2 linked regions of the Oryctolagus cuniculus genome follow. Each later gene encodes a partner of the first gene's protein in a complex. Links are inferred from orthologs where the notes say so. Each region holds a gene or a part of one and is shown in the gene's direction. Other genes may lie near its edges.

Region 1 (4,506 bases):
TCAGCCCGTCCCACGACAGCTGTGGGAGGTTAGTACCCCTTGGGACCTTGGCCAGATGCAAGTCCTTTGGTGACGATGTGTCATACATTCTGGTCAGTGCTCTCCTCCAAGACACCACTTTCTGGGCCTGAAGTGTTCTGCTGTTTTTTTGGAGGAATGAAAATCCAATCTCACATAAGCCGGATTCAGAAAATAGGTCATCGATGTGAGTTGCGGTTATTTTCTTTCCAGCTTCCTCCTGTGCTTGCTTTAGATTGCTTTTCTGCAAAGGGCAGGTGCTCTGCCCTGCCTGCTGGGCAGGCAAAGGGGGTGACGGCCACTCACGCCTCCGGCTCCTGTCAGGCATCACTCGGATTCCTGGGATTTCCCAGTGAGCATCTGCCTTCTGTCTGAGTTGTTAAATTCCCATGAAAAGAACAGGAGAAATATCTTTCTTGGGTACTGATTCTCTCTCTCTCTCTCCCTCTCTCTCTCTCTCTCTCTCTCTCTCACACACACACACACACACACAAAACACTTCATAGCCACTTGATTTGCCACCTGCAGTTCATAATAGAACGGAGCCATGGGATTATAAACCACTTTATTTCTGCACAGAATTTCTCAGCTTGAGGCCAAATTCAAGGGCATTAGTCATCAGCAAATTGCAGTTGGTTTTTTTTTTTTTTAATGTGTTTCACTCAGGAAGATTTAAGGCAGCTAAAGCTGAGATTTCCCTATGCTTTGGTGAGGAAGTGAAAAATCTGATCATGTAGTTAATCATTTGTCATAGCTATGGGCATATATTGTTCCTTAGTGACTGCAACATATGACTGATTGGGCAATCTGGTAACATGACAGTTTGAATGGTATTCGATATATCCCATTATGTTACGGTTCTTTTCTCTCTCAATATTTGTATATGTTTAAGATTTGAAATTCATAGAAAGTGGTAGAAGGAAACTTGAGGATCCACCTGGGTCTCTGCCCTGGAGGTTCGGGGTCAGCAGTTCTGGGTTTGAATAAGCACAGTGAGGGTGCCTGGGGGCGAACTTTGGAAAACCTGTGATTAGCTCAACCTCCTCACTTTTCAGATGAGGAAACCCCGTCACAAAGAGACTTGGAAAACTGGCCAGGATCACAGAAATACAAGCCTGCCACTGAATCCCAGGTCTTCTGGCTTCCAGCTCAGCGCAGGTTCCACGCCGCTAGGGAAGAAATCCCTCATTTTTCTTGTTCTGGAATTACCCTGGCTGCGTGGCTATGAGCCCTTTCAGCAGCAGCTGGGCCTGGTTCTTTAATCGTCTTCCCCGCGGAGGAGGGAGCCCTTCTGTTAGGATCGTGGGATTTTCCTGGCTTCATTGGCTCCCTGCTTGGCTGGGGTCCGGCAGTACCCACCCCACCCACAAGCTCCACAGGAAGTCCCGCCCCTGGCTCCCGGCGGTTCCGGAGTCTGACTTCCCCACTCTGGCTGCAGTCTTCCTCCTCAGCCCTAGAAATCTGTGGGCCCTAACCTTAATTTTTTTTTAAAGATCTATCTATTTATTTATTTAAAAGGCAGAGCTAGAGAAAGAGAACTTCCTTCTACTGGCTCACTCCCCAAATGCCTGGAACAGCCAGGGCAGGGCCAGGAGCCTGGAACTCCATAGAGGTCTCCCACATGGAAGACTTGATGCTTCCTCCCAGGAGCATTAGCAGGGAGCTGGATCACAAGCAGAGTAGCCAGGACTAGCTGAGCATTCCCATATAGGATGCTGGTGCCGCCAGGGCAGCTTAGCCCCCTGCACCACCACGCTGTTCCCTCTCCCTCCGGATGGAAATCCTAGCTGGATCCGGATCCCTCCACCAGAAGTTTCCTTGGAGGTAGAACTACATGAGCAGACGCCTAAATGCGGAGAAGGAGGTTGCTATGGGGCCCTGGAGGGAATGGAGTCAGGATCTGCCCCAGGCCGAGGGCACTGTGAGGGTTGGAATCCGCTGGGTGAACTGGGAAGAGGGGCCACCATGGCGGCGTGAGGGGGAGGTCGGAGAGGAGCTGGTATGGCAGCCGGGGCTGCAGGGCCTCGTGGCTTACAGCAGGGGATGCTGGACCTCACTCTGCGCGTGCTATGCATTTAACAGAGCTTCCTGAAGGGGCCTTTTAGTGGGGCTGCGGCGAGTAGCCTGTGGGGCCGGGAACAAGGACAGACGCTGGAGCCGAACACAGAGGCTGCGTTTGGGCCAGGGGCAGACCCGATGGGCTACCAGGCGGCCGGCTGGGCTGCGGTGCAGAGGGGTGCCGAGGGCCAGCTCCAGCGCCTTCCTCTAATTTCCCCAAAAAGGCCCATTGGTGGCTTGTGGTAGCCCTGGGAGGAGGATAGTGATAAAAGGTGCTTGGGTCATGAATGAGTTTTTCGAGTGGAGTTGACAGAACTTAATGTCCACGCACCAGGGGAGTTCATTGATTAACTCCGTAGTTGTGAGGGAACCTGGAACTTGAGGGAATTGAGAAATCTTGTGTATTTGAAAGCTCTCCTTCCCATCCTATGTGGCGTTCCATGGTCAAGCCAGCTTGTTTTCTGTTTGGCTTTATGATAGAGCCCAAGATGGCATTACCTTGGAGTAGTTTCTCTACCGGGGGTGGGAAAGGGCCATTTTATATTTATGACGTCACGCTTTGGCTTTCAACAGTAGCCGGCTGCAGGTTGATGGCTTTTCAAGTCCATCCTTCAATTGCCTTGGCTGGGCCAGACCCAGTGATTTCCCCCACCTTCTAAGGCCCCGGGCTGGGTTGCCTACCCTTGCAGAAGCAGCTTCCAGAATGTATTCTTTCCAGGGGCGCTGTTCAAGTTATTCATGGCTTTTGGAAAGTTTGGTTATTTCTATTAATGAAATCTACATTTCAGTAGCAAAATGGAGCCTTCATCTACAGAAGCTATATTGAGAAAGAAGCCAAACTGACAAATGGCATTATCACCAGCCCATGAAGATGATAACTTTGATCTGAGTTTCTAATAAGTCTTTTTAAAAAATGCTCAGTGCCATGCCCACTTATCTTTCCCTGCCTGCTCTGTGAGCTTACGGGGCCCTGGGGCTCCGAGCTGCTCTCCTGGCTGAGTGACAGCGTGCTGAGCCCTGTGTTCCTGACAGGTGCAGTGCTGTGCACAAAGTTGAGCAAGCTGCCTAGGCAACGTGGAGGAATCCTTGCTTCTGGTTTGCAGGTGGCATGGTTTGAACCCTGACCATTCTCCCCACACCCTCACCTACAGGTAGAAAGCCTGCATGAGAGAGAGGGCAAGGTCAATGGTATAGACATTGTGATGTGGTGTTAGGCTGCTATGAAAGGCTTACTTGAGCATGAGCCTTGTTGATAGTGCAATAGTCAATCTCATATGTGAGATGGCTGGAAGTGATGTTGGGCTGGTAGTGAGTATAGAATGGCTGTGCAGGACAAAAGGATGATTCACTTTCCAGGAGGGATGGAGCATAATGGTGGGGGATTTTATTACACTACTCAGAATGGCATGCAATTTAAAACTTAGGAATTGCTTATTGTGGAATAAGTTTGTTACTAAATTTAATGCTTTTGGATTGCAGTTGACCACAGGTAACTGAAACCTTGGAAAACAAAACCACAGCTGTACTGGGCTAGAACCTTAGTAGAGGAAATAGAGTTGCAGAGAGGGAGTCACCGGCACCAGCCAAGACAGATAGCTTAAAAGCTTTGGTGTAGATCAGACACTTGGAAGGCAAGTGGAGGACTTACAGCAGGACTTTGGTTGAATGTCCATCTTTATGTGGAGAATGGAAGTTGGCACAGGAAGTGATGAGACATAGAAACCATAAAAGTAAGATGTAGAGGAAACAAAGAGGAGAGAGTGTTGTAGAAAGATGGCAGTGGTGATCAATGGCTAATACTGTAGACGACGAGGACAAGGATTGAGCAAGTGTGTCATGTTTCATGACTGATGGAAGCTCTTAAAAGAGGGGTTAACGTTGTGGTGCAGTAGGTTAAACTGCAATTTGGAATGCCAGCATCCTGTATCCAGAGTACTGTTTCAAGTCCCGGTTACTCCTATTCTGATCCAGCTTCCTGCTAATGGCCTGGGAAGGCAACAGAAGATGGCCCAAGTGCTTGGGCCACTGCCTCCCATGTTGAGAGACCAGGATAGAATTTCTGGCTCCTGACTTCAGAGTGGCCCAGCTTTGGCTTTTGCAGCCATTTGAAGAGTGAACCAGCAGATGGAAAATCAACCTCTGTCTCTCTGTCTCTCTCTCTACCTTTCAAGTAGATAATTTTTTAAAATAACAAAAAGAAAGGAATTAATGGGGTAATTGGGTTAAAAACTGGATCTTCTACCTTGCGGAATATGCCAACATAGCTATACATTGTGTGTGTGTGTGTGTGTGTGTGTGTGTGTCTGCAGAGATGTTTACAGTTAGGAGTTAGTATATTTGGATGGTAGAATATTCTAAGTGTTGTGATAATTTTCTTCTTTTATTTCCTTCTTCTCCTTTAGTGTTCTATAGAGACCTACTTTGTTTTTA
Region 2 (3,803 bases), on another chromosome or scaffold:
AGGTGGAAGTCGGCGCGGGCGTCCCCAAAGCCGGTGGACAGGTTGAGGGCTCTGCTGAACCCCCTGGCGGGGCTTGGTCCCTGCACTCCTGTGGCTGTCGCTGTGGATGGGGCGAGAACTCCTGGGCTACAGCTGGGCAGGGGTCTGGAGGTCAGAGGTCTCCCCTGCAGCCCTGTCCTCCTATCAGGAGTGGCGCCCGGCCTGACCTGTGCTTGGCAGGGCCTGGACACCCCAGGCCAGCAGTGGGCCCCTGGGGCTGTCCCCTCCGGGCTTAGGGAGGAGAATTCCTACAGTATCGTAATGGCTGCCCCCAGGGGTGTGCCTGGCGCCAGGCCTGTGCAGGTGTATCTCAGGTCCAGCCCACAGGCCCAGAATGTCCATTGCAGGTCACAGGTGGGCTGGGCAAGGTGGCCAGACAGGAGCACAGTGTGGGGGTGGGCTTCGTGCCAGAGCCTCCTCGTCTGAGTCTGGCCCTCCCGTGGAGAGCCCCCAGCCACGCCCCAGGGCCACACAGAGCTGAGTGAGCTCCGAGCAGGAGGGCAGAGGGAGGGGAGAGGGAGACGGACAGACAGATGGGGCAGCACGGTGTGGACACAGCACAGCTGGAATCAGAGCCAGCTCATGTCTCTTTCTCGAGGGATCTTGGGCCCTTGTGCCTCAGTCTGCTTATCTGTGAAAGGGGAGCACGGCTGGCACCCGCCCCACACGGTGGTGGAGGCTGCGTGAGGGGATGCGTGCGTCACACCCACCGCAGAGCTTGGAGCTCAGCCACTCACTCCTCTCGCCAGTGGCGGGGGGAGGGGGGACTCTCTTCTCTTGGTCCTCGGTCCTCCACGATTTTTGAATTTTCCCCAGTGAGACTGAGGGTCCCCGTCTGTCTGCTGGCCACCAGGCCAGGCGAGCAGAGGAGAGCAAGGCTGGGACCCTGGCTTTACCATGGCCCCTCAGCCCATCCGCCCATGTCTCCAACAGGGTCGTGAGTGCCCGGGGCTGATGCTAACGGTGGCAGAGATAAGCTGGCACAGTGCTTCCTGCGTGCCAGGGACCCTGTGGGGAACGGCAGTGGGGGCCTGGAGGGAGGCCGTGGGCACCGCTGGCCCTGCTGCTCTCTCTGGTCCTGCTGTGCCAGCTGCTCAGGCCTGCAGGCGGGGGCCGCTGCGGATCTGGCCGTCCTTGTACACTGCCTGGGACCCCCAGAGAGAAGCCAGTCCCCTCTGCCCCTGATCCCAGGACCCCGGCATTTGCTGCGCCTTGGTTACGGGGTGAATAATTCAGGCCGCTGAGTGCCGCCCATGAAATATTCAACAGGCAGTTCCTGCTGCGGCAGCAGGCTGCGCGTGTGGGCGAGGGGCGTGGGGCTGAGCACCCTGTGGGCAGGACCCAGGCTGCTGTCCGCTCTGGGGTGTACACAGTGAGAGCCAGGCCTGGCACCCGCTCCTCCCAAACTCCTGACACAGCACGGGGCCCTACAAAGGGGATGGCCCATGCCAGGAGGAGGGCAAGAGCAGCAAGTGGGTGCCTGGGGTGATCTGGGGACAGGGAAGGGGGTGGAGATTCTGGGCAGGGGGCGGGACCCGGTGTGTGGGGAGGGGCCAGTTATGCTGGGTGGGCAGATGGAGGAGGAGGGGGGCGTGGTGTGAGTGTTGATGGACAGATGGAGGCCAGCAGTTGGAGTGAGTGAAGGCCTTGATGAGTGGGGGTGCAGTATGTCATTGATGGACAGATTGGGGGGAGGCAGATGAAGGGGAGGATGTGAAGCCGGTTGAAGAATTACCTTTTTCTGGGGCCGAGAGGGCTGGTCAGAGCAGAACAGCACCCAGCCCCCACCTTGAGCCACTCCACCTGAAGGGATGGGCACTCCTGGGTCTGGTGGGGGAATGGATTGTGGCTCCACCTAGTGCCCCACTGTGGTAACTGCACTCCATCGGCACCTATCAGCCTAGGGACCAGCCCAGCGTTCCAGTTCTGTTAGCACCCCTCTGGGCTGTGGGAGCCAGGATGAGAGGCAGTGCATCAAGGAGAGGCCCTAGGGGGCTATGGTCTCACATACTCTCCTCTCTTTCACCTCTTCCCTCCCATCTGCCAGGCCATGCATCCCACAGACAGATGGGCACTCACACCGCTCACCAGCTGTGCGGCCTTTAGCAACACGGGCCTTATCTTCAACTCCCCCTCTGCAAAACGGGGAATGGCAGGAGAACTTCGGAGAATCTGCCTGGGGCAGGCACTGTGGCCTGGTGTCAAGCCACTGCTTGCCCCCCAGCAGTGCCTATCCGGGTGCGGGTTCGAGTCCTGGCTGTCCCACCGCCAATCCAGCCTCCTGCTAAAGCATGCCAGATGACAGCAGGTGATGGCAGTGCTTGGCGCCCGCCACTCACTCTGGAGACCCACATGCAGTTCCAGGCGCCTGACTCCTGCCTGGCCCCGCCCTGGCTGTTGTGGGCATCTGGGGAGAGAACCAACAGAGGGAAGATCTCTCTCTCTCTCCCTCCCCCCCCTTCCCTCCCATCCAAGTAGATGGAAATAAATCAACATTTTTAAAAAAAGAACTTGCCTGGTAGAACCATGGCACGCAGTGGCATACTTCCCACCCCATAGGGTCACCAGATGAACAAGAACAAAACCCAGTATTAACTTTGAATGTCAGATAAATAATGTTTTAACATACATCTGCCCGTGCGATATTTGGTGTGTGCAGGACATTATTTGTTTGTTCAGATTTGACTGAGCATCTGTGTTGTGGTCAGCTGCCGGCTCAGGCCAGACTCACCCATGGTCAGCCGCACACTGGCCATGGAGTAGGCACAGGGCAGGCGGGGCAGAGTGGCGGGGTCTGTTCTGTCGGTGGGAATCAGGCCGGTGTGTGTGTGTGTGTGTGTGTGTGTGTGCGCAGAGGCAGTTCCGATGGAGGAGGACTAAGGACAAAGGCAGAGGGTCAGACACTTGGTGACCGCCCACCGTGTGGGCGCTGCGTCTCCGCAGGGGAGTGAATGCCCAGACCAAGAACGGTGCCACGCCCCTGTACCTGGCGTGCCAGGAGGGCCACCTGGAGGTGACGCAGTACCTGGTGCAGGAGTGCGGCGCGGACCCGCACGCGCGCGCCCACGACGGCATGACCCCGCTGCACGCGGCCGCGCAGATGGGCCACAGCCCGATCATCGTGTGGCTGGTGAGCGGCGGGGCGGGGCGCAGGGGCGGGGCGCAGGGGCGGGCGGGGCCGGGGTGGGGCCTGTCCTCCAGCCCACGCCCCTTCCCGCCCAGGTGAGCAGTACCGACGTGAGCCTGTCGGAGCAGGACAAGGATGGCGCCACGGCCATGCACTTCGCGGCGAGCCGCGGCCACGCCAAGGTGCTCAGCTGGCTCCTGCTGCACGGCGGCGAGATCTCGGCGGACCTGTGGGGCGGGACCCCGCTGCATGACGCCGCCGAGAACGGGGAGCTGGAGGTCCGGGCGCCCGGGGGGCGGGGCAGAGGGCGGGGGGGGGGCGCGCGCGGTCCCAGCCTGCGCGAGGTCCTCACTGCGTGCCCCCTGCAGTGCTGCCAGATCCTGGTGGTGAACGGCGCGGAGCTGGACGCCCGCGACCGCGACGGGTACACGGCCGCCGACCTGTCGGACTACAACGGCCACAGCCACTGCACCCGCTACCTGCGCACCGTGGAGAATCTGGTACGCCCCGGGGGCTGCCCTGCCGGCGTCCTGTCCCCCCACCCGCGGTGGTACTAAGGAGGACCAGAGGCAGTCTAAGGAGAGCTGGGCGAGATCACGGGACACAGCTGTGGCACCTGCCAAGTCCGTGCACCTGC

The links.
Region 2: the proteins of MYO3B (region 1) and espin are in contact, whole or in part, in a crystal structure (PDB 5ET1), measured with the Mus musculus proteins. The link is inferred for Oryctolagus cuniculus from reciprocal best matches to the Homo sapiens genes MYO3B and ESPN. Residues at the interface, in XP_017174528.1 of Mus musculus: Arg1223, Arg1224, Gln1226, Gln1227, Pro1228, Lys1229, Met1230, Leu1231, Ser1232, Ser1233, Asp1236, Thr1237, Met1238, Tyr1239, Tyr1240, Asn1241, Gln1242, Leu1243; in NP_997570.1 of Mus musculus: Leu35, Ala37, His41, Arg45, Ala67, Asn69, Ala71, His75, Asp76, Ala79, Thr80, Asp101, Ser103, Leu110, Arg113, Phe114, Thr135, Thr137, Ala139, His143, Tyr144, Ala147, Thr169, Asn171, Tyr177, Leu178, Gln181, Ala203, Asp205, Met207.

What each region holds. Positions count from the first base shown.
Region 1 is NC_091434.1:70,939,799-70,944,304, reverse strand, and holds the start of MYO3B (myosin-IIIb), read left to right. Parts: upstream 1-1,442; 5' UTR 1,443-1,792; coding exon 1,793-1,842; intron 1,843-1,850; exon of another isoform or gene 1,851-4,506.
Region 2 is NC_091438.1:161,061,903-161,065,705, reverse strand, and holds part of espin, read left to right. Parts: intron 1-2,982; coding exon 2,983-3,169; intron 3,170-3,261; coding exon 3,262-3,444; intron 3,445-3,534; coding exon 3,535-3,666; intron 3,667-3,803. UniProt on the Homo sapiens protein: Multifunctional actin-bundling protein. Plays a major role in regulating the organization, dimension, dynamics and signaling capacities of the actin filament-rich microvilli in the mechanosensory and chemosensory cells.